Schizosaccharomyces pombe: one gene and its partners. Changing the gene in region 4 together with the main gene of any one other region gives a genetic interaction. Each region holds a gene or a part of one and is shown on either strand. Other genes may lie near its edges.

Evidence for each region.
Region 1: mutations in tol1 (region 4) and qcr8 together harm fitness less than expected from each alone (positive genetic interaction), as found in Schizosaccharomyces pombe (one large-scale study listed by BioGRID).
Region 2: mutations in tol1 (region 4) and plt1 together harm fitness more than expected from each alone (negative genetic interaction), as found in Schizosaccharomyces pombe (one large-scale study listed by BioGRID).
Region 3: mutations in tol1 (region 4) and yps1 together harm fitness more than expected from each alone (negative genetic interaction), as found in Schizosaccharomyces pombe (one large-scale study listed by BioGRID).

The regions. Positions count from the first base shown.
Region 1 is NC_003424.3:4,763,769-4,768,873, forward strand, and holds qcr8 (ubiquinol-cytochrome-c reductase complex subunit 7), read left to right. Parts: upstream 1-3,287; 5' UTR 3,288-3,341; coding exon 3,342-3,373; intron 3,374-3,562; coding exon 3,563-3,580; intron 3,581-3,625; coding exon 3,626-3,839; intron 3,840-3,942; coding exon 3,943-3,957; 3' UTR 3,958-4,138; downstream 4,139-5,105. Other genes in the region: ypa2 (serine/threonine-protein phosphatase 2A activator 2), read left to right, coding at 681-1,739; prohibitin Phb1, read right to left, coding at 2,198-3,046; exonuclease Rex3, read right to left, coding at 4,139-5,105.
Region 2 is NC_003423.3:3,384,731-3,391,667, reverse strand, and holds plt1 (phosphate transporter), read right to left. Parts: upstream 4,051-6,937; 5' UTR 3,969-4,050; coding exon 3,952-3,968; exon of another isoform or gene 3,906-3,951; coding exon 3,861-3,905; exon of another isoform or gene 3,806-3,860; coding exon 3,785-3,805; exon of another isoform or gene 3,637-3,784; coding exon 1,116-3,636; downstream 1-1,115. Other genes in the region: mitochondrial F1-FO ATP synthase peripheral stalk assembly factor Ina17, read right to left, coding at 286-317, 364-490, 599-700; diphthamide biosynthesis protein Dph1, read left to right, coding at 4,351-4,554, 4,643-5,749; SPOM_SPBC3B8.06 (uncharacterized protein), read left to right, coding at 6,654-6,937.
Region 3 is NC_003421.2:976,629-983,180, forward strand, and holds yps1 (yapsin Yps1), read right to left. Parts: upstream 4,307-6,552; 5' UTR 3,551-4,306; coding exon 1,985-3,550; 3' UTR 1,599-1,984; downstream 1-1,598. Other genes in the region: translation initiation RNA helicase Sum3, read right to left, coding at 1-43; protein SVP26, read left to right, coding at 813-1,496; vid21 (NuA4 histone acetyltransferase complex scaffold subunit Vid21/Eaf1), read left to right, coding at 4,492-4,500, 4,583-4,863, 4,921-6,552. UniProt on the Schizosaccharomyces pombe protein: Cleaves at paired basic residues.
Region 4 is NC_003421.2:1,546,126-1,551,897, forward strand, and holds tol1 (3'(2'),5'-bisphosphate nucleotidase/inositol-1,4-bisphosphate 1-phosphatase), read left to right. Parts: upstream 1-3,778; 5' UTR 3,779-3,878; coding exon 3,879-4,940; 3' UTR 4,941-5,272; downstream 5,273-5,772. Other genes in the region: meiotic recombination protein Rec7, read right to left, coding at 1,763-2,515, 2,621-2,734, 2,792-2,944; zinc finger C3HC-type containing RNA export factor Rsm1, read left to right, coding at 5,569-5,772. UniProt on the Schizosaccharomyces pombe protein: Phosphatase that converts adenosine 3'-phosphate 5'-phosphosulfate (PAPS) to adenosine 5'-phosphosulfate (APS) and 3'(2')-phosphoadenosine 5'-phosphate (PAP) to AMP. May regulate the flux of sulfur in the sulfur-activation pathway by converting PAPS to APS.

The DNA of each region.
Region 1 (5,105 bases), on a different chromosome or scaffold from region 4:
GGATATCAGTACCTCTCTTTTCTTAAGAAACGTTTAATCATTTAATGTTTACTTCAGGCTTTTTTAACAAGGAATACATTTTCTCTCATGTATATTCTATCCTTTAATGTTCCGGTATGAGACAATTAGGTCGGTGCTTTTTTCTTGCGATAAAATCATTAAACAATCCGCGTTTATTTAACTATTTTCAAAAAGCGGAGCACTTATTTGTTTATGCCGGCTATCTCCTTCATATCAATTAGCTTCCCATGTCTAGTACTATTACAATACCTCCATCTTTGGCCCTTCCTTTTTATATTTTTAAATATTTGTCGATGGCTAGAATTAATGACATGTACACTTCATGTGAATCATAAATATGTTGTTGTATATCAAGCAATTAATAAACGCTTATTACACTGTATCTGTTTACACATAGAATAAAAGAACACATTGGTATGAAAAATAACTTTAGTAGTCGAAATTATTTCCTTAAAACAATTTTGAAAAAAAAAAAAAAAATTTCTACATTTCTTTCTTTAAAAAATGTTCTCACTGATTATAGCTAATTACAATAATGAAATGTAACGTACTGACGACTGACATAACAAATAACAACATAAGGAATATTGAAGAGCGTCCAACTGTATAATTTTTAAGGCTTTTGTTAATCTTGTCTTAACCGATCAAGTTATGCCAACATGCTTTCTAGAGAAGAGCAAAACCGGTGTTTCGTTCCTGTCCGACGAATTTTAGACAATGAAGACTTAAAATTATTTAAAGAAGGAGATGCTTATAAGTTAATTGATTCGTTTATTTGTGATCTTGACGAAGCTGTGAAAGACAAGCCTATTTCAGCTTCAATTCCGCAAAGCTCATCAATAGAGCATGTATTAAATATACTAGATCGAGTTGGAGAAATTAAACAGGAAAATCCTGCAATTGATAATATGGGGTCGAGGTTTGGCAATCCTGCATTTCAATCATTTTACGATCAGGTATACATTGAAACACCAAAGTTGCACCAAGTATTTGGAATTGAGCATAATGCGGCGATGGAGGCAGGTCGATATTTTTATGAAAGCTTTGGAAACAGAAAGCGAATAGATTATGGAAGTGGTCATGAACTTTACTTTATGTCATGGTTACTAATTTTAAAGCAACTAGGCATTTTTACTAAAAATGATTATCCAGCATTGGTCGTTCGAGTTTTTGTTAAGTATGTTGAATTGATGAGGTCTTTGCAAATTTTTTATACTCTCGAACCAGCAGGATCTCATGGTGTATGGGGATTAGATGATTTTCATTTCCTCCCTTTTTTGTTTGGTGCAGCTCAGTTGGTTAATCATAAATATTTGCGTCCCAAACATGTTAGAGATCCAGAAATTTTGGAGATGTGTCGCGCTGATTATATGTACTTAGGTTATGTTTACTTTTTAAATAAGTTGAAGCCTTCTGTTTCACTACGTTTCCATTCTCCAATGATTGACGATATTTCTGCCGTAAAGACTTGGTCTAAAGTCAACGAAGGCATGATAAAAATGTATAGAGCAGAAGTTTTGGGTAAACTTCCTATAATGCAGCACTATCTTTTTGGCCATTTAATCCCAGCTTCACCTGGGATGTCTCCTGCTCCCCAAGACGGTGATGATTCTGAGGTGACACATGTTCATTCTCATTATGCTGACTGTTGTGGCATCAAGATACCAAGTGCGATCTCTGCTGCCAAAAATAATGGAAGTAGGATTCCGTTTGATTAAAAATTCTCGAGGGAAAAAAGGCGTTTTTAACGAATCTTCACGAATTTATGCGATACCCATATTTGTCTGTTTACTTTAAAAGTAATATCTAAAGTCAATAAAATTACCAACAGTACAGCATATTTGTTTATTTCATTATGCTAAAAAAACTCTACATAAACAATCAACCCTAATTTTAGCAGCATTAATATAGCCATTTCATCAGCACAAAACCCAAAATAATTGTCGTTTTAAAAATAAGGTGACAAATCATAATTTTGAGTTCTGAAATAAAAAAATTTGGAAATATTTATTTTCGTTAAGAACCCAAATTTGTCAAAATCATAATGCGTGGAAAAGTACAACTTTTATATAACATCTCTTTAATTTTAAAGGGATAATAAGATAAAGCTGATATGTTTAGGGGAGCTCGAATAAACCTTATGAATTTGCTGCTAGAAGCAGATACATGGAATGAATTAAGGATTTACATTAAGAAGCAACCCAGAACCACTGGAACTTTGGGCATTAGAACCAGCTCCAAAGGGAAGATAAGTGACCTGTGCACCTTTATTAGCAAGTGCAGTAGCCACCTCTTTACTTGTCTCGAGACGACGAATTTGGATTAAAGCGCCACCGGCTTTATCAAGTGCTTTGGAAACAATATCAGCCGCTTCTGCTTCACCCTCAGCGCGAATAACATTAGCTTGTCGCTCTTGTTCGGATTGTTCTACTAAAAATCTAGCACGCTCGGCTTCTTGTTGAGCAATTTGTTTTCTCTCTACGGCTTTCGTAAATTCTTTTCCAAAAGTCATATGAGTAATGGATACATCTTCCAACCGAATTCCAAATTCGGTAGCTCGTTGAACTAGTTCTTGGCGAATTTTGGCAGAAACTACTTCTCTTTGAGTAATGAGCTCTGCTGCATCAAACTGAGCAACTACGGATTTTAAAATTTCGTTTCCAATAGAAGGTAAGACACGCTCATCATAATCTAAGCCTAAATTTTGGTAAATTTGAGGAAGCATTCCAACTTCGGGACGGTGTAATACACGCAATGTTAAAGAAACCATCTGTAAATCTTTACTACCCGTAGTAGTTGCGATATTTCGTGGACGTGTGCGTACATCATAAACAATTGCCTTTTGTAACCATGGAATCAAAAAGTGTGTGCCCTCCTGAACAACCTGTTTCTGCACACCCGACAGACGGTCAAACAAAACTGCTCTTTTTCCCCCCGGTACATCGTAAATCGAAGATTGTAATAGAGTAAATCCAATACCTATTGGTATTGCATAACGTGCAACTCTCTCCAGTACTACAGCCATCTCTTTAATAGTACGTTGAGCGCTGGACTAAAAGACCAAACTGAAAGGGAAGTCCGTTTGAGCAAGACTAAGTATGACTTAACTGCAACCTCTAGGAAAATCTATATTCATGATTAATAAATACATGATCTTATTATTTAGAATTTTAATAGTAAAACTAAATAAAAATCTTGAATAAAAAACCAAGAATTTGTAAACGTCTGAATTATTATTGGTCTAGCAGACCCGCACACTTACCCTTAACAAACATCTGACTTTGTAACGGCAATCATCAATATATTATTGTTTTAACAAAATGGGTGGTGCTGCTGGAGGAAAAACTTATTTGTAAGTGCAACTTAAAGCAGTTTCTGTTTATAATGGGTTATATGACTTTTCTTTGACGCTTATAGCGTGAGACGGTGGACACAATTGGTGTTTATTTCGTAAAGCCATTTTCGTCAGCGAAGTTATATACATTCAAATAGCTGCTGAGAATATCATTGAACGTTTTTATTTATACTAACACATGAATAGAGGATGGTGGGGCCATCTGTAAGTGCTATAACAATTTGATACATTTTTACTTACTTTAATAAGAGGTGGACCTAAACAAAAAGGAATCATAACATATTCCCTTTCCCCATTTCAACAGAGACCAATGGCCGGCTTCTTCAAAACTTCTACGCAAAATATGTTTCGTCGCGTCATGACTGAAGGTCTATACGTAGCAATTCCGTTTGGAATAGCTTACTATATTTACTGTTGGGGGAAGGAGCGTAATGAATTCCTCAATTCCAAACATGGAAGACACGTAAGTTAATGACTGAAGAATCGATAAGCAGCTATGGTTTGCAGCATTTTTCTATACTTCTAAATTGTGTCAATAATTGTCATTTTACTAATATGTGGTTTAGTTGGTGGAGGAATAATGATGAGAATGAAGTATTCATTTTGGTAGAAGGATTTACAAAATTCTTCCCTACCCTTTCCTTATTGGGTTTACAATTACTATCTCTCTCCTCTCATTATGCTTAGTATCAGAAATCTATATATCCAACAAAATTACTTTGTGATATGATCTATCTCTTGAATTTGAAAACATTATTACTCTTAGTTTTGACTTTCATTTGATTTTGTCTTATAAAAGACAAGTTGTAATGCTGAAACAGCGTCTTCTTCGCTATCGTGTGTAGAAGTTTGTATTGTTGTTCCCAGATATTTTTTAGTCAAATATTTTAAGGAATATCTAAACGGCGGGCCTCTGGCATGCGTAAATAGAAGAGCAGTATCTATGACACGTTTGTGAATAAGCCTCATCGCATTCAAATCGTTTTCTAAACCATGTCCTATTAAAATTGTATTTTTATTCATGCCAAGTTCCTTTATTTTAATATACATTTGATCCATGGTAATTCCTGATTCTAATTCTTTGGCATCATGTATCCCGCTAAATCGAGTATTGAGACTCAAAATTTTGCCTTTAGGCTTTATAAACACATCCATAATAATGCTTTCCTTTGCTACCACCGTCAAACGAGCCAATTCCATCCCGTTCGTAGTGTAGCATAGTTCACAATCTAACGCGCAATGACTTAATTGCTTGCTATTTGTACTGTCTGGTAAGTAGGAAAATGGATGAACGCTAGCAAGATACGGAAGATGTCGGTATTTGAACACATGGTTGTCTTCTATAATACAACCAGACGAATCGCCCTCTTTTACACCACAGCAAGTGTATGTACGAATCTTCTCCCCCCCTTGCTTTTCACGAAACAGTTTTCCCCAATGATATGTACATGGTCCTCGAGGATCCGCAAACCGTGTACCACATCGATCGCATTCACGAAGTTCATCTGGCGGGTTTACTGGTGCAACGTCTCCAATATTATATCCCCATAGAATCAATTCTTCTTCCGAATGAACAAGTGACTCAAGTTTCTCATCAGGAGTTGATCCTTGTATTTCATTTTTCTTCGGAGCTTTCTTAAGAGATAAAATTTTAGACTTGCAGGAGGAACTGTATATCATTTTACTGTTTGCAGTTTCACAAATATTTTTTTCATCGAGAAGAGCAAGC
Region 2 (6,937 bases), on a different chromosome or scaffold from region 4:
TTCAGTTTGTTTTGCAACCTTATTTATGTGAAGCTTTACTTGGGGTTTTCGTATTTTCTAAGTAGATGTATTTAGTCTTAGGTAACCGACGTAAAACTCGAAGAAAAAATAACCTCTTCTCGATTATTTGAACAAACAACTCGAGGACCTTTTGACTGAGTGTTTCGTCTGTAGCATTTAGCTATTCAAAGAATTTTTGACATACTGAACTATTAACAAATCGTAATCTCGCTTCTTTAAGCCATATACGTTACTAAATTTCTGGGTCATACAAATCTCGTGTTTTTATTTCGCATTCTCTAAATTCCGTAATTCGCCTAAATGTCAACAAACTAAAAGAGCTTTCACATATCAACAACTTACTGTTTTTAATAGCTTCCTGTTCTGATGCATCTAATTTCCACCAAACTATTTCCAATCCATAATAAGTTGCTAAGGCAAAAAGCGTCACTTTACCAAGAGGTCTAGCGTAGTTTTTATAAAACATAATCTTTATGATCGTTAATAAAATAATGTTAAATAAAACAATGCAAAAATGCTTGAATGAATTTTAGCACAGATAAAATTTATGACCTAAAGCGTATTTAGAAAAGCTTACATGAGGTGAGATTTCTTTTTGTTGACTATTAAATCTTTTCTGCTGAACTGGCACCTTTTTTACAGTCCATTTCGCAAAATTGATGGGCAATTTGCGTAACATTTTGAGACTATAGGTGATGGTTAATTATAACGTTCCCGCTGCACCATACACACTACAATCTATTTGAATGATGCATAATTTGGTTCATTTCTAATCAAGATCCAAGTTTCTACGAAAATTAGCAACTATTTTTCATATTCCTTAGGTTTTTGTGATTAGTTATTTGTTATTTTTTTTTGCCAGTCAATTTGAAACAAAGGAGAGATAAAATTTGTTTTGTATCGTATTATAAAGTGAACATATAAATACATTAAGATCCGTAGGAACACTAAGCTACCATAATTTTATCTTCGAATGCAATGATTTAAAATCTATTTAAGTAGAATTGACAAATATGAATGTGTTATGCAGCAGAACATGCTTCGACTCAAAAATTATAAAAAGAAAGATACAGTACCGTTTACAAATTAGGAGGTTAAAATCCAAGTGCTCGCATGATTGGTGTTCCAATTAATAGGAGAATCACGAAGGAAATTAGTGTGGCAGGAATACCAGCTTTTAAAAAGTCACTAACTTTCAAATATCTTTTGCCAGCTTCATTTTCCATCATGATAGCTGTCATATTAGGAAAACCACTGGTTGGCAAAGCCATAGCAAGACTACACATCATTCCCGAAGCCAAAACGAAAAGACGTGGATGAGGATCGGCAAGGCGACTTCCAACTTCATGGACAATGGGAAGTACCACCATTGCAGCTACTATATGAGAAATAAATGAAGAAACAACAAGAGTCAAAGCAGAAAAAATAAGCAGTACCCTAAATGTATTAAGGGAAGAAACAGCATTACCTATTTTAAGGGCAATAAGTTCTAAAAGGCCGGAAGAAGACACTACTTTTCCTAACGCAACACCTCCCATTGCCAAAACTATGACTGTCCACAAAAAATTATTAAAATCCTCCTTGGTTAACAAACCTGTTCCGAAGAATACAATGATTGGGACTAATGCAATAACACCCATATCACCAAACACCTCATCGAAGCGGCGTTCAAGGCACCAAAGGACTATAGTACCAATCGTAACAATGGAAATAAACCATTGGACACCAGTAAATGTATCCTTGGTGGAGCGAATTTTAGCTAAAGTGATGTGCTCATCTTTCAGTAATCCAAAAGACAACAGAAACCATATAGAAAATATACACAGTAACGATACAGGAATACTGACGGCAAACCATTCACCCCATCCCGCAGCGGGATCCATATTCTGTAGCGCAACAATATTTTGTGGGGATGAAATAGGCGAAGCAATACCTCCAACATTAGATGCCAAAGCAATACCCACAATTAGTATCTTTGCAAAATCGGACTCTGCTGGTAAATTTCTCAGAAGGGGCTGAATAATAGAAAAACACAACACTGGCGCAGCAACGTTGCTAATCCACATACTAGCAAACATGGCAACGAACATGTTTGTAAGAAGCACGCTTCTAGGCTTACGCCCTGCATGCGCTAAAATGGAAGTCGCCAACCTTTTAGCAATATGATATTTGCTTAGAGCAGCTGCAATGGTAAAACCTCCTAAAAGCAAAACTATAGTTGGATTCCACATCGAACTAAATATAACCTTTGTTGATTCCTTTCCAGAAAGAGGTGAACCGTTCTCATCTCTCAAAATTTTCAAAAACACAGTCATAAAAGGAACCAAAAACGAAGTAACGAACAAAGGAATAGCCTCCGTAGCCCATAATAAAGAAACCATTACTAACAAAGCCAAACAATTGTTCTGTTCCCTATTATCTATGACAGGAAAACTTAATAAGAGAATAAATATAACGATAATAGTAATTAAAGTTGCAATCGTGCTATTAAAGAAGCATCTTGGGATTCTAAAAACACCAAATTTAGTTTTGATTGTAAAATAGGGGGGCTGTTCTGATTCTTTCTCATCAGCTGCGACAGGCTTCAGTCCTGATAATCTCGCGGCCTGAGTACGACGCTCCATAGCCATCATTTCACGCCAAATAGTGTTCCTTTCCCATGCAACGTATTCACGAAGATGACCACGAAGGCGACGGATAGCCACAAATGTATCGCCTTGACAGCATAGCTTAGCATACCACTCTGCAACAATATTTAAACGCTTTGACAATGTTTTCCCAGTAGCAGGAAGGAAAGGGTAAGCTTGGTTGACGCGCTTCATGTACGATTCACGAAGGCTACTACCCAAAGTTTTATCATATTTTTTTAAGATTTTTGAAAAACCAGTATAATTAAGATGGACGTACGAAATCAAGTCATGAATTGAAACATACAACTGTGTCAGTTTTCGCTTTAAAGAAACGAAGTTTTCGTACGCAACAATATCAGATGGATATTGTTCAATAAGCAACCATCGATTGTTATTGTTGTTATCTTCGTCTTCATCTTCGTCCTCATCTTCATCATCATCATCATCATCTTCCTCCTCCACCTCATCATCATTGCCTTGTACCTCAGGTTGAGCTTCTGAATGTTGTTTTTTTGATAAACCGTTTTTAGAAGTATCGACATCATGAGGTTCAGACGGTTGAATAGCAGTAGATTCTGCTCTAGATATAGCAGGGGCCGCATAACCTCCATCACTAGTTTGCCCATTGAGATATATCTCACGGTTTGAAGAAGTAATGCGAGGCAATTCTTGGCTGCGGGCCATACGACCAGATTTCCTACTCGCTGAGCTCTTTTGTAATCGTTCAGGGGTAGGGTAATTAATGTTGTTTCCCTGACTCATATACTCATTCTCATAGGTTTCAAATTCGCCCTTAATTCTACCATACTGATCAGCAATTTCTTTTTCTTTAGGAGCATAAAATTCAACAATTCCTTGTAATTCCTTGTCTAAAGCAAACATAAAGCGATCATCGGGTGATCTTCTTTCGTGCTCTAACAGCCTAGTTTCTTCATCTGGAGCGCCTTGTTGTAATGTTATCTGTTCATGTTCCAATGAATAAATACTTAAAAATATATGTTAGCAAAATTCAAGTACAATTTTATTCTCCGGCTGTTAATCAGACATTATCCCAAATTTCGCAAGTATGAATTTGTCGGAATATAGGATATATCATAATAGCCAGTCGTAAGCTCGAGAATTTTCAAACATACAGCTTCTTAAGGTTCGAGTAACTAAGCACCGATTGTTAGCAAAAATCGGAAGTAATCCAACAGGTTGTTTACTTACGCAATGTAGCTTTCGGACCATTCCGGTACTGCATTAAATTGAAGACTAAAAAGTAATTAGAACAAGTCTTGTGAAAACTGATGCAACAAACCTATGACTGAATTTCATCTTGGATGACAGAGGTCATTTAACTTCAATTGTGACTAAAAACAGCTTTAGCTTATTCACGCAAATTAATTTGGAACAATCTAAAGGAGCGTTAGCCGTTCAAATTTCGTGGCCTATGATCGGAGGTGAAGCTGTATTCGTGGATCCAACCTCCGATAGAAATAGCGTAATATAACAACGTGTGTTAAATAATATAGCAAAGTGCAATGCTTTTTTACTTAGTAAATTATTTGGGATCCTATTGTATTTTAATTTAACAAACAAGCAATTTGCAGGGAAAAAGGATTTTTGGCATTCTATCAATTTAAATACATACATAGCATTGGTTACTTCTTGGGATTTCAAAGGGTTTTAGTAATAGACTTTATAATTTTAAAACACAATGGCGGAAGTGAAAAAATCAATTCCAAAACGTCGTTTTGTTGGCAAAAAAAATAGGAAGGAAAATAATTTGGATGGTTCTAATAGAGATGTTGAAAATGCTGCTCTCGTCACTATTAACTCCAAGAGGAGCGCTGGACGAGTAGCTACTCAAATCCCAGAGGATATATTAAACGATAAAGCAATTAATGAAGCTATAAAATTGGTAAGCTGCTTTTATTAGAGAAAGATGCCGTAAATTAGTTTCTTCTTTTCTCAAAAACATCAAAGCTTGGTCAGCTAACCTTTAATAGTTACCGCAAAATTACAATTTTGAAATTCACAAAACCATTTGGCATATTCGCTTACGAAAAGCAAAACGTGTTGCCTTGCAACTTCCCGAGGGGCTATTGATGTTTGGTTGTATATTGTCTGATATTTTTGAACAATTTTGCCAGGTCGAGACAATTGTGATGGGCGACGTTACATACGGTGCGTGTTGTATTGACGATTTTACAGCTAGGGCACTCGATTGCGATTTTTTAGTACACTATGGTCATTCTTGTCTTATACCTGTTGATCAAACGCCCATAAAGGTGCTATATGTTTTCGTGGATATAAAGATAGATTTGCAACATGTCGTATCATCTTTAAAACATAATCTACCCTCCAATTCTAGGTTAGCTTTGGTTGGAACTATCCAATTTGTTGGATCTCTCAACTCTATAAAAGACGCTTTGCAAATACAGGATGAAGACGGAAAGGGAGGTTTTTACGTTGTTATTCCACAAGCAAAGCCATTATCTCCTGGAGAGGCGTTGGGATGTACATCTCCCTATATTGAAAAAGGATCTGTAGATGCATTAATTTACATTGGTGACGGAAGATTCCATTTGGAATCTGTCATGATTGCTAATCCTGATTTGCCCGCATACCGCTATGATCCTTACTCACATAAGCTCTCTATTGAATCTTATGCTCATGAAGAAATGAAATCTATTCGGTATTCCGCCGTTGAGAAAGCTCGTACCGCTAAAAAGTTCGGTCTAATTCAAGGTACACTGGGTCGACAGGGGTCTCCTAAGGTACTCGAAAATTTAAAGAATACTTTAAGGAAAAATAATAAAGATTTCGTTTGCGTTTTAATGTCAGAAATTTTTCCTAGTAGATTGGGTCAATTCTCTGATATTGACGCGTGGATTCAGGTCGCTTGTCCAAGGCTTTCCATAGATTGGGGCTATGCATTTCCCGCTCCATTGTTGACACCATATGAAGCATCTGCTGCTTTTAATGTTGTTCCTTGGAAGGAAGTTTATCCTATGGACTTTTACGCTACCAATTCATTAGGTAATTGGACTCCAAATAATCCCGAAAATCGACCTCTGCCAAATCGCAAAAAAACCGGACCCGTTTCTTCTTAACGCTACTTGCCATTAATGGCACTAATACTTGTTATTTTTTAACCCTTATATTGTTCTTTATAGGTTTATTAAAATACCAATAGAATTCTCATCTGATAAATACAATATGTATTACATAAACTACTGCTTTAATATATTTATATTTAAACTATGCACCGGCAGGCGCGTCCCTCATTTTAAGGAAATTTATAAGTAACCAGCCCTACATGTTGTAAAGTAACGATTGAATGTGTCCAGCATACCCCCCTGTTCCATGGCGGTTATAAAATCAACACAAGCAATGCGAAATTTTTTTCTTGTTATGTTGTTCTAACTTTTTTTATGTGAGTAGTTCTAGTAGCTGCAGATAGGTTCAGGATGCTTAGCCAAGTAAGCCAATAGGAATGTTCTTGATCGTTATCACTCCGTCACCGTCCGATTCAGCTTAAACACTCCCATAACCCATTCTCAAAGTGAATCCCTTTTTCTCCCTTCTAATAGTGTTGTTATATATACTTATATATAATAAAAAGGTAGGTTAATAGCATCATATTACAAGTTAACACATTTTGATGAGAGAATTTCATGCTATGATACCGGAGCGGATATGTCTGCGCAAAAATCACTCCACTTGATTTGCATATATATCGATGATGGCAGAAGTGTTATTAACTCTTTTTAGATTCTAAAAGTTCCAATTGAAGCCAGAAGTGAACTAACTAATAGTTCATGCGTTTGATGCTTTAAGGAACTCAGTTTTCAGGGTTTAATTTATAAATATAAAAGAAAAAGGAATAAAGTAGAGCTGCTAACCCAACTCGGTTTTCCCTTTTATTTGATTTGAACAAATTTTTTTCTTCCAAAATTAATTTTGGCACCAATTAGTTAACTTTTTTCTGAACATTTTGCAAAAAAAAGCGAAAAAATGGATGGAATGCACATGAATTCCACGGGAGATAATCCCATCGAAATTGATTTCGAAAATTATGCAAATCACATGAACAAATTTCTTATGGCTCATATCATTTGCATGATAATTGCTTATGTATTTATCCTTCCTGCTGGAATTGTACTCGCTATGGCGAAAAGTAAAGCACATATACCCGTACAAATTGTATATGTTATTTTGACCCTTATTGGGTATATTTTTGCTCATATAAGTCATCACAAAGCATCGCCTGAAAATTATTACAAAGGAAATATTCATCG
Region 3 (6,552 bases), 570 kb from region 4:
CAGAACCAACTGAATCTACTTGTTGCTGTACATTGTCGCTCATAATATTTTTTGTATTTCTGAGTTGAAGTGTTTGGTTGAGGTTAGGTTAAGTTGGCCATTAAATGCTACCAAATACACGATGGGACTGCCCTTTTTAACCCCTCAGCAAATTAGATATGTCAACGAAAACAATTTTTAACAAGGATAAAAAGTCATTTAAACAATTTAAAATTATTTTTTAGTTAATTTTGATACCAATATGTATGGGTATTAATAGTTTTTTTGAAACCTTAAGTCAGTACACGTGCTATCATCTGACTACGTTAAAGAATAAAAATTAATTGAAAGGTTTTACTATATAAATATATTTATAATCTATATAACTAAACATTTAGGCACCGTAATGTAGGTACACGATTGCCACTCACCAAAACTAAAAACCACCGTTATGCTCGTCTCTAAATAGCAGACTTAGTATACATATTAATCATTTTAATTGGAATAAGAAAATTCAACTTTCAAATTTACAATTATTAGCATACAGTTTGCTTTCTGTTTAAGGTCGTAGTGATATTCAGGAGTACCAGCCATGGTTTTGCTGTCTTCCCATACCAACCAATACTACAAAATATAGAAATTGATATTTTTATTGTGCCTTGCAACTTAAGAAATTGCTAAAACCTTTAGGCAGAAGCTTTGTAAGCGGTGCTGTGCATTAAAACCGTATTTATTCGACAAATCCGAACATATTTATCTATATTGAAGAAGTCCAAAGAAAATCACATTTGTTAAGATTATTAGATACGACATAATTAAAAGCGTTTTTCAAAATGATTGTCCTTAATGCTCTGTCGTACTTGGGTATCGTTTTGGGATTCATAGGCATGACCGTGAGTATCGCATCAGCTTTGTATTACATTTCAGAGTTTGTAGAAGAGCACTCTAGGCTCGCAAAGGCGTTTTTATGTCGGTTGGTTTATTTTATTATGGCGGTAATGGTGTTTTTGGTTATATTTGATGGTTTTCCTTTTTGGCTCTCGGCATTCTCCATTTTCAGTCATTACATTTATAAAATCAACTTTGATACCTTTCCTTTCTTCTCATTTAAGAGAATGAGATTTTTGCTAGCATGTTTCCTTATTGTCGCGAATCATATCTTATGGGTCCGCTTTTTCCAGGTGCATGAATTCCCTATTAAACCTCGTGGACTCACTTACGATTTTGTTGGTCAACGCCTTTTGACCTCTCGTGCTTCCTTTTCACAAGTTGCTTCATTTATGGGGGTATGCGTATGGTCTGTTCCTATTGGTATTTTTGTTTCCTTTACCGCTGCTGACAATACACTTCCTACCATTACAACCCCGTCTTCCTCGTCCCCTGATGCTTATTCTTCTGGATCATCTCGTCGGACGTCGAATGTACTTCGACAAGCTTATAAAAAGTTAGGTATCTTCGTCGAACGTAGTCTTACCTCTTTGGGGTTGAGTGATCGTTCAAGTGAACGTTACGTCTGAGTTGAGTTTGAGGGATGCTTGTCTTTTTAAATTAAGGATTCGTTTAACTTTACTGTAATGTCTGTACTTCTTATGTGATCATTTACTCACAACATGTTGCATCTCTTTTTTTTTTCGACTTTTATTTTGTATATAGTTTTCTTCATACTTTCTTCATCAACACTTTAACTTTTTCTCGGTCAGTTTGAGCGAACAAAATTATCCTTCTTTTACGTTTTGTCGTTGTTCTTTAGGATTGCCTATTGTTATTTTTTTCAACATGGAAATTGTATTGTCAATTTGACTTAAATTTCATCTCGGACGTGTAGAAAATGCATTTAAAGGAAATAGATGACGCCTTTTCATATTCATATGAAACGGAGTTTTTTACGTCTTGTTCATAACGATTTTATCAATAAAAATTAACATGATAGAAAGCTAAATATATCCAAGTAAACCCTAGCCACTTGTAAAATTGATAAAATACACATTTAATTAATCAGTATCGACTATATAATACCGAGTCCTAAAAATACAGCAGACATCATCATAATGACCATAGCACTTAACGGAGAAAACGAATTTCCAGCATTTGCAACCGCATTCTGAGAAATCAAAGAGATGTTGAAGGACGGAATAGCTGAAGAGGGCATACTACTACTACTTGTATAGGAATAAACGACGCTTTCCGAAATATTCACAGCAGACAACGATGTGGATGTGAAGTGACTAGTCTGAACCAATTGAGTAGATGCCACACTCGTAGGATATTGCGAACAAGTTAGAGCACCAGGAATGTGTTGATCCACGATGGCGGACAAGTTGGATGTTGCGTTATAAAAGGCTTGCCCAATGGCAATCATTTTTTGACTTTGATGATAAAATGTGTAGGCGTTTCGAAAAAATAACAAACCTAATACAATCTCACTATCCGTCGAAGGTCGAATACCTAAAAGACATATGTTTGAAACTTGCCCAATCACTAGCAACGATATCGGTACCTTGATAGTTGAATTACATCCAAATTGAAATATCAGAGCGGCTTCCAAATCAATTTCATCACAGTTTAATGCGAAATAGCCTTCGGATAAGTAGGCACCAGCATTATCCATCACACTGTAAGCCAATTCGGCAGGCAAATAAATATAAGTTTCACGAGTTTGAAAGTATGCATCAGTGATGATAGAATAATTAGAAAAGAACGTAGAGTTTAAGAACTGCACAGAGTAAATGGAAACGGCGTAATGCGTAAGCTTAGTCTGCTTCAAAGCGACAAACTGTCCCTGGTACTTTGACGTATCCACGGCTCCCAAAAGTAAACTTCCATTACCCTGATTATCCAGATACATACTAAAAGCAGGGTATGCCAATATATCCTCTTTAACTAGTTGTTCCAAAAAGGTTGGTGGTGAAAAACTTGAAATGGAATCCGAATAATCTATTGAATTAATTTCGGTACTGGCAGCTAAACCTAGCACGCCTTTGTACGGCAGCATTGAACTGGGAACATACTCCTTTAATGTGATGCCGAATTGGAAGTCCGGTAAAGCTTGATAATGACTGTAAGAAAGGGAGTCCTGAACATTAATTCCAGCAACTGTAATGTTATCGTCATAGCGGATAAAAAAAGTGCTTGGACTCGTAACAAAATGGAAGCTAGAAGATGCATTCCCAAAATAACAAGAATCACTTTCTTTTTTACAAAGAAAGTATCGCAGTTCATCCGTACTCCACTGAGTACCACTATTCACTATGCCAAGATACGCTGGATTAAACGCCATTACATTGTAGTAAGTCAACCATGTGTACGGCATGTCCAAATCTATAGCTACAGTGTACGAAATACTCGGACGACCGATCGAAAGGGTAGTAGTGTAGTAAGTGTAACTCTGCAAATCTAAAGGAAATGAAGTGATACCAGATGGAGAATAAGTATAGTCACGCTTCTCTAATTGATTTTCCTGGTTGGGAAAAGTTTTCGCAACGAAGTCCAAAGCTAAAACACCATTTCCCGTATATTGTAACGAAGAGACAAGTTTAATGAAGGAGAAAAATATTAAAATCCAAATCCTCATAATCCTTAAATAATTAGAAGAAAATATAGATGCAAGAATGTTTACATAGAGGTAAATTAAAATGACCAAGGTGATTATCAGATAAAAAGAGAAATAAAGAATAAGAATAAAGTAATATGAGAAGAAGAAATAAGAATATGCAAAACGGAACTAAAACAAAAATGCAAAGTAGAATAAAGAGCAGGTGCCGAGTTCTTTTGATGAAAGAATGTTTTAACGAAAGCAACGATGAATTGTTATTATCCCTTGTTATGTTGGGAGCAACAATTTGGCAATCTTGCTTTATAAAGAAAAGAAAATCCACAACAGAAAGTGGAAATAATCCTCAAGGGATGAGCAATAGATGCATGTAAAAACCAAATGCAACGCAAAAATCTAGAAAAACTTGATCATAAATAAGAGTCTTTCACAATTCCTAGCACGTCGTAAAATAATAAATACAAATTGAAAATAAGGGAGAAATAGATCACTTAACGATAGTTTTTTTAGAATGATATGATAGTAGGTTTGGCATGTAGCTCAACTGAATGTATTTTTGAATAATTTAAGTTGAAAGGGAAACGTTTTTAAAGCTTTGAAATATGCCGATAACCTTTATGGTAACGTCTCAACTTTTAAATAGAACAAGCGATTTCTCCGAGCAACAAAAAGACGAAAATAAAAGACAGTCTTATTGCTGTACTTGTAGTTCAAAACTGTGTCCTAGTAGAGTGCTATTTCCTTGTTTTTCTACTTCACCTAATATGGTGGTTGATTGCGGGCTCAAATCCCTTGGGGGGCCTCAACACCATCAGACTAACTTCGTTCACATTAGGTCTGAAAGTATACAGGATCCTTGAGTTCTTTATATCATCATACAATAAATATAAAAGCAAAACTGTGTCTTTTCTAGAATACGATTTGTATGCTTTTTCCAGCGTAATTCCGCTTAAATTGGGATTATGAAACAGGTACGTTTTTACGAGTCTTACGGGCCTTAAAGTGATAATTTTATTGTACTTCGATAACTAATTAATATTTTTAATTAAAAAGAAGGAGACCAAAACCAGTCAAATTGCTTTAGTCGATGGTGAAAAATTATCGATAACAGATTCTTTTGCCTCCCTTTTTACTCTAGACGAAGAAGAAGAAAACGACTCTGTAGACAATGAAGAGATTAAGTTAACAAAAGAGAAACATGAAAAGTTACTTCTTTTATTTTGGTTGCATTGCAAGTTTCCTAATGGATTAGAATGGCTTCATTCATCAAGTGATCTTTTACCAGAGCAAGTTTCTGAGTGGTTTAACTTTTATCAAAAGTATCGTTTTAAAAGGTATGTCTCATTGAGTAACTTTTTGTATTTTCCTCAAATGTACAACTAACATGCAAGGGGGCGAAATTTTAATCTTTCAGCTAGAGAATCTGTAACTCCTATCGTTGAAGAACCGATAGTTCCCGAAGAACCCGATAATTTGGAAGGAGTTTCAGAGGAGACACCTTTAAAAGAAACTTCCCTAGAACTTAGCGAGGAGGAAATTATAACGTCAAAATCTCCCATACCTTCACCTGAAACTATACATAAAAATATTGACGTAGAAGAGAAAGAAACTATTGAACCAACAACACCCGTAAAAGAAGTGGAAACCACTGCTCATGCTGAAGAGGAAAAAGGCCCTTTGACGCCAGATAGCGAGTATGCTGCTCGACAGCTTACCGAAGAACTTGCAAACAAATCCTCTCAAGAAGAAGGAGTCGATAAGCAATTAAGAGTGGTTGAAGCTACCGAAAAGGAACATGAGGAAGATGGGAATGAAGAAAATGTGACCGTTACCAAACCGGTAGAGGTTGCGACTGATCAAGTTGAGTCTAAAGAAGTGAAAAAGAAAGAGGTATCAGAGACAACGGAACCTACGGCTCCCCCTGTCACTGTTGCAGAAGTTTTGGAAATTGAAGATAAAGTCCCAAAGGTTGATGAAGTTGAAGAAGTTCATTCTCCTGAAGCCAAGGTCACTGAAAATGATGTTGAGAATGTACAATCAGGTATTGATATTGAAAAAACTATACAATTATTAAATAATCAAGAGATTCCTTCGGAACAACAAATCATTTCCGTTGACAAGGCCACTGAATCTCCTGTTCAGGAAGTAGCGGTTGATGTCAACGAGAAGCCAGTAGATGAAATTGTTGAGCCTAGTAAATTACAAATGGAAAATAAGTTACCATCGGAAAAATCCCCTACAATTGACAGAACTGGGGTTGAAGCTCCGCTTTTTGAACTTTCTGTATCTATGCCACTAACTTTAATTCCTCCTTCAAAATTTTCTGAACCGGTGAAACCAGAGCTTTCCTCAGAAGCATGGCTGCTTCGAACAGAAATGTCGCCTTTACATTTAAGGTTGAAAAATGCACATAAATATGTTCTATCAGATAACTGGTCTCATGCGTATCGCGAGGAAATTGTACGACAATCACTACATCATTTAACGGTTGCAAAAGAAAAAGGTATTTGGTCCTTTAGACAGCCCAAAAGACAAAACGAGATGCCACGATTGAAAACTCATCGGGATTATGTTTTGGATGAGATGCAATGGATGTCAATTGATTTTTCTCAAGAGCGTAAATGGAAAATTATATTGGCTCATAGAATGGCGAATTGGGTAATGGATTACCATCAAGCTAGTGATAAATGTACTGTTTGTACTCCGGCTTCGTTGTCAAAGAATAAGAAGCCGTACATGCAAGAGAATGAACATCAGAAAGACTCTCACGAGGAAACGTTTAATGAACAAATAGTGAGCCATTTTAATCTAAATGATAATAATAACAACAAAGTGCTCTCTATTCCCAGGGATTCTTTACAGTTTTATAATGCTGTTTTTTCGGATGATATATTTGTGACAACAAACTCCGAACAAATTCAGAACTGCGTTTTAAACGTTCCTATGTACGGTCCTCCTACTGAAAACAATGAATATTGTGAAGAAATATCTGAAAAGTACCCGATCACTCCTGTGTCACGTTT
Region 4 (5,772 bases):
AACTTATGAAAAAAATTTGTAGTATCGCTGTAAACGAAATTTTTGTGTAAGAATGACGAGAGTTGTTTTTGCACAGACAAACGAGGTTCGGACGATCGGCCTATTTTTTAAGTACGATAGTGATTAGTATAGTATATCGTGAGGAGCAAATACAATCGCATAAAAAAAATCAGGGTGAAAAGAATCATTTCAGAGTGCGTTAATGAGAAAGTCCTCGTTATAAAAGAAAAAAAGGAACCGATGATTTAAAGTTATTGATGGTTTTAAAAAACAGCGTTTATTTTTACAGTGTTTAAAGTCAAGTCAATATTAGGCACAAGAAGAGGTCACACTTTATTTTCAAAAGAAAATGGATGAAATGCAACTCCATGCGTTGCGATAAGCGTTAAACACCAATCTAGGAAGCAGTCCCTCAACAGAAATGAAGCGAAAATCGAATGATGGTGAGAATAGAATAATAAAACGAGCCCCGGTAAATTGAAAGTTGATAGAATCAAGTTTCAATTAGGGGTAATGAAAACGTGCTTAAAAATAGGGAGTAATGTTGTAGTTACCAAAATGAACAATTCGGACCAGACCAATAAATATTGTCGAAATAAAACAAGGAGTGTTAAATTTTATTATTATGTCTTTATTCTCCTTGGAAACCGGTTCGTCCACGTGAAGAGAATTCTATTAGCATTGTCGAAACCGTTTGATCCGGTTATGCCTTCATATCTTTGAAAACATTTCCGCCAATTCCACCAAGTGAAAATCACAATATCGTTAGTCGGTATTGTCTTTAGGTTTACTAGCGGGGGCGTTTTTGTTTTGAGGAAAAAAGAATATTCTCTGGTTTCCATCTACCTTAAGTGCCGATTAGGCAGATAAGCTAGATTAAGTGAAATGGGAAACGGGATTCATTTTCCATTGACAACACTTTTAAACATTATTTGATAATTCGCATGCAACCCTTCAAAGTCGATTCGACATTTTAAGGTTTACTTCACGGACATTGAAATCATTGTGAAGCTTTGTAGACTGTTGTCTCTCTCGGAAGTACCCAAAAAAAAAAAAAAAATCCTTTTTACACTCATAACGTTCTAGCTGTTTCATCCCTTTAAAAAATATCATGTTTTTTTTTTGGTGCTCGGAACATTTACTTTCTCCACTTGGTTCGTCTATTTTTGAAGTTAAACTAACTATTTGACCATTTTCGTACTTAATGTCATGAACTCCTCTCGTGGATTGTTAAGTCAATTATCAAAACCAACCACCAACTCAATTTTAACCGTTGTAACCTGACCCATTATTAACACTAGTATTCATGCTGTACTTGCGGCAATTCCCCCATCAAAAAGTTTTCAGAGTTGTCTTTTGATACCGATTATGTGTCGTGGTGGAGGCTTACACCCCAAGGATCGGAACGGGATCTTCTCAATTTGATTTTAATGCTCTGCATGGACAAGCCTAAGGGAAAAGAGTCATGCAACAAGTAGAGAAATTTATTTCAACATTGTTGTGTTGGCGGTTTCTGTTTGCTAATCCTCAGCAACGATCATATGCAGTTGAGATCTCGACCAACTTTTCGTTAAATAATGTCAAAATTTGCAACAAATGTTTTATCACGGTACTCGAAGAATGTGAACTTAATGAAGTTTCTCATTTGGTTGCCAAATTGTGGTCACACATCAATTTTGTCGAAATAACCATTCCGATCCTGATTTCGTTCCATTTTTACTACTTTTTTAAATTTGGGATTAAGTTGAATTGGTCTGTCTTCCTACATCTTGTTCCATACCCGTTCCAAACTTTGACATAATTGGATGAAGCTGTCTTGTTTTAGATAGAATAATACCTTGGAGCGTAATTGCTTTTCCTCTTCAGTAAGTTCTGTTGGTAGGATTTGTGAAGTCGTTGGGGGTGATGGAATCAAATTTGCGTATGCTTGGTTCTCCGGTTGAGCAACCCACGAAGCCTGTGTCTGAGAGTTCAGCGGCGTAGCAGCAATAATGGGGTATTGTGAGTTTGCACCGTAAGAGTAGGCATTACGATTGGGATTAAAAGGTGATGAAGTTATCACCACGTTTTCATCCCAAGTGGGTTGTTGTGACGCAGTAATACTTTCAATTGATGTATCACTTCGAAGGGGCATTTGGGTCATGCCCGCATCCCCGCGGAATCGCTTAAGCGGTGGTGTATTGGAGAAGATTTCAGCATTTGGCATGACATGCTGCAGTGGTGCTGGATTGACATAGTTTGTGCTATTGTTCACAGCAGTTGTTGCTGTTTGGGTCATGGGGATATAACTCGGTTGTAATAAAAGATTTGGCTGTTGCGCCGATGACTTGTTATATGCATTGTTCATCAACGAAAGTTCCTGTGAGTTATTAGATTGACTTTGGGAGTTATTGAATTGCTTCTTCTCAGAGGAAGACTTTGCATCTTTGAACACCAGGCCTAGCTTCTCAAATTCAACTTTGGCTTTCATATAATGCACGTCAGATGGGAATTTCACTTGAAATCTTTTCATCACCTAAATTTATTAACAACAAAATACGCTTCATCAACACTCCATTTTTTTTTTTAAAAAAAGAGGCCTCAATGTGATTTTGAATAAATCTGCTTTTGTTTTACTTACATTATTAGTGAAAGCACGAATATTCATACACGGAGCGCGTGAAAGCAGAGTTAGACATTTTTCCTTCGTTCCCGGTATCAATTGGTGCCAGAGATCTAACAAGTTTATACTTTGCTGTTTGTTTGTTAAAAATATTGAATTTTTCTAGCAATATGGTTTCATGTCGCGTACAATTAATTCTTCGTGTTGACGAATTTGAAGCAATCCAGACGTTAATGAGAGTGTAAAACCTCCATCTGAATAATGTGACCAGTTGATATGGGAGGAATCTGTAGTATACGAATCCTCAGCTACAGAGTACTTAACAATTGGGAAAATGTTCATGTTTGTTTATGTTTGAATATGAGAAGACGCGTTAGACTGAACCTCATTTATCTGATAACGCAGTACGTTCCGTCACGGTGTATTACTTTTGTTTACATTTATGAGTTGACCTGAAAACGACTAGACTTTATGGAATGTAAGTCTTGTTATCACAATATATTACATATGATTGTAATTTGCCATAAGGAAACTATTTCTTCAATCTGTATTGAGGAATATCTGATTGTTCATTAATTTCTCAAGTCTCTTCAAACAACAGTATTTTGAGAGAAAGGAAATTTTATGAGCAGTTTCTTCTTTTACTAATCAATCCCTTTAAAATATTTTTATGCCTTCATTTCATCCTTGGTATCTACACTTATATAAAAATTTTAGGCATATTTGCCTGTTAAAGGGAAACGCAAGATACGGACTTGCACTGCTTTTAAATTATGCGTTTTTTCCATCAGAATGATATTTTTTTTCCTTAATATTATATTTCATCCTTTCTCCATAGGTTGGAAGGGTTGGCGAACTGCTTTGCCAATACCCAGACTTTAGTAGTGTCGTTTGTATAATTAATGAAAACCTAAAATGTGGACATGGAGAAACCTGTTTTAAAATATTAACATGCTCTTTTCACAATAGAAACTACATAATCATTATTGTTTAATAAAAGTTAGCATAACCTGCGATTTTACAAAAAAAAAAGGTCTTTTAGTCAGAAAAAATGAAACTCTTTCTCGTTTCATAACAATTTTTTAGTTCTTTCTTCTATTTGAACAATATTTTTGGTTAAATGTGGAAACGTCAATTAAACACCGTATATGCTGATTTCATATTCTTCGCACTTCCACTGCCCAGGTTTACAAAAATTTCCAAACTCCGTGTTAACAGGAAATTTGGTGCTAAAATCATACCTCCATTAATAAATAACATTAGAAAATTATTTACCATGAGCTTTGATGCCGAAAAACAATTAGCTATTGCTGCTGTGCGCAGAGCTAGCTATTTGACCGAAAAAGTGTTTAATCAACTTATCAAGGAGAAGAGTGCTGCTGGGGCACTTACTAAAGATGATAAATCACCTGTGACTATTGGCGATTTTGGTGCTCAAGCTATCGTAATCTCTATGTTAAAAGATGCATTTCCCAATGATCCAATTGTTGGCGAAGAGGATTCCGACTTTTTGAGAGAAAACACCCAAACCTGCTCTCGTGTTTGGGAATTAGTTCAAGAAACTATCCAACATGCTACTGAATACAAAGAGCTTGGTCAAATCAAGTCAGCTGAAGAAATGATGAGCATTATTGACCAAGGATCATATCACGGTGGTCGCAATGGTCGTATGTGGACTTTGGATCCCATTGATGGAACTAAAGGATTTCTACGTGGTGCCCAGTATGCTATTTGTTTAGCTTTGATTGAGAATGGAAAACCTGTGGTAAGTGCCATTGGATGCCCTAATCTTCCATATGACTTTAATCAGCCCGAGACAAGTCCCAAAGGTATCATAATGTCCGCTGTTCGTAACCATGGTTGCTTCCAGTATTCTCTCCATAACGAAAAATTAGAACCAGTTCAAGTGCACATGCAAGATGTTCAAAACACCAAGGATTCAAAATTTTGCGAAGGAGTAGAGGCTGGTCATTCAATGCAAGGAACTCAAGAAGAAATTGCAAAGTACTTAGGGATTACTCGTGGACCTACCAAGATGGATTCTCAAGCCAAATACGCTAGTCTTGCTCGTGGTGATGGTGACATCTACCTTCGTTTACCAACCAAAATGACATTTGAAGAAAAAATTTGGGATCATGCTGGTGGTTCTCTTCTTGTTGAAGAGGCTGGTGGTGTTGTTTCTGATATGTTTGGCAAACCTTTGGACTTTGGTGTAGGAAGAACTCTTAAGAACAATAACGGTGTTATAGCCGCCTACAAAGGTATTTTTGAAAAGGTAATTGAAGCTACTGCAGCTGTAACATCTAAAGACCCTCACTTTCAAAAGGTCGCCCAATAATCTGTCCGAAATATTCTAGCTTTAGGGCTTTATTTAGATTTTTCAGCATGTTAGCATATGCGTTATCGAGGATTCTACAAAAAATGTAATCTTGAAAATATTTACTTGCCATAAGCTTATGATTAGCTCCTTTTAATTAGATCAAAACAATTAACAACATGTTATATGTCTTTATGGATGACATATTTTATTTACCTTAAATTATGGATTATATAGTAGCAATGTTTAATTGTTCAGGTATAGTTACACAGGTCAGTATGAATAGGTTAATTGTATAGTTATTTTCCATATTACCTTACTATTTTACTTTTAGTATTCTCGTAAATTTACTATACGGTGGTGTTGATCAATTTCAAGGAATTTATGCCTTCAAGTGTGGTTTGGCTAATAACATGGACATGTTTTCTTAAAACGGTAAAACTTTTTAACAATTTTGATGAAACGAATATTGAGCTCATGATCCAAATTGGTATTTTGAGATCCTTCCTAAGTACTTTGACTTGCGCTACCTTGATTCCTGCTGAAAACGTTTGGAAAAGGCATGTAATAAAAGTTTTCTATGATAATATTTGAGACACCACATTTTTCGAAAAGAAATATAATTTTTTAACTCTTAGAACGGGTGATAATGTCATTTCCTACCGATATGGAGACAAATGAAATTTTGGATCAGTTAGACAAAATTGACGAAAGAAATGAAGATATTCTTTTAAAGTCTCTAAAAGCTTCTAAATGCACATATAAGCCCTGGAGCAGAGAAGAGTTTTTGAGACGATTGTTGACTTATAGAAGTCGGTGGGCTTATGTAAACGATCCTCAAATTGGTGAGATA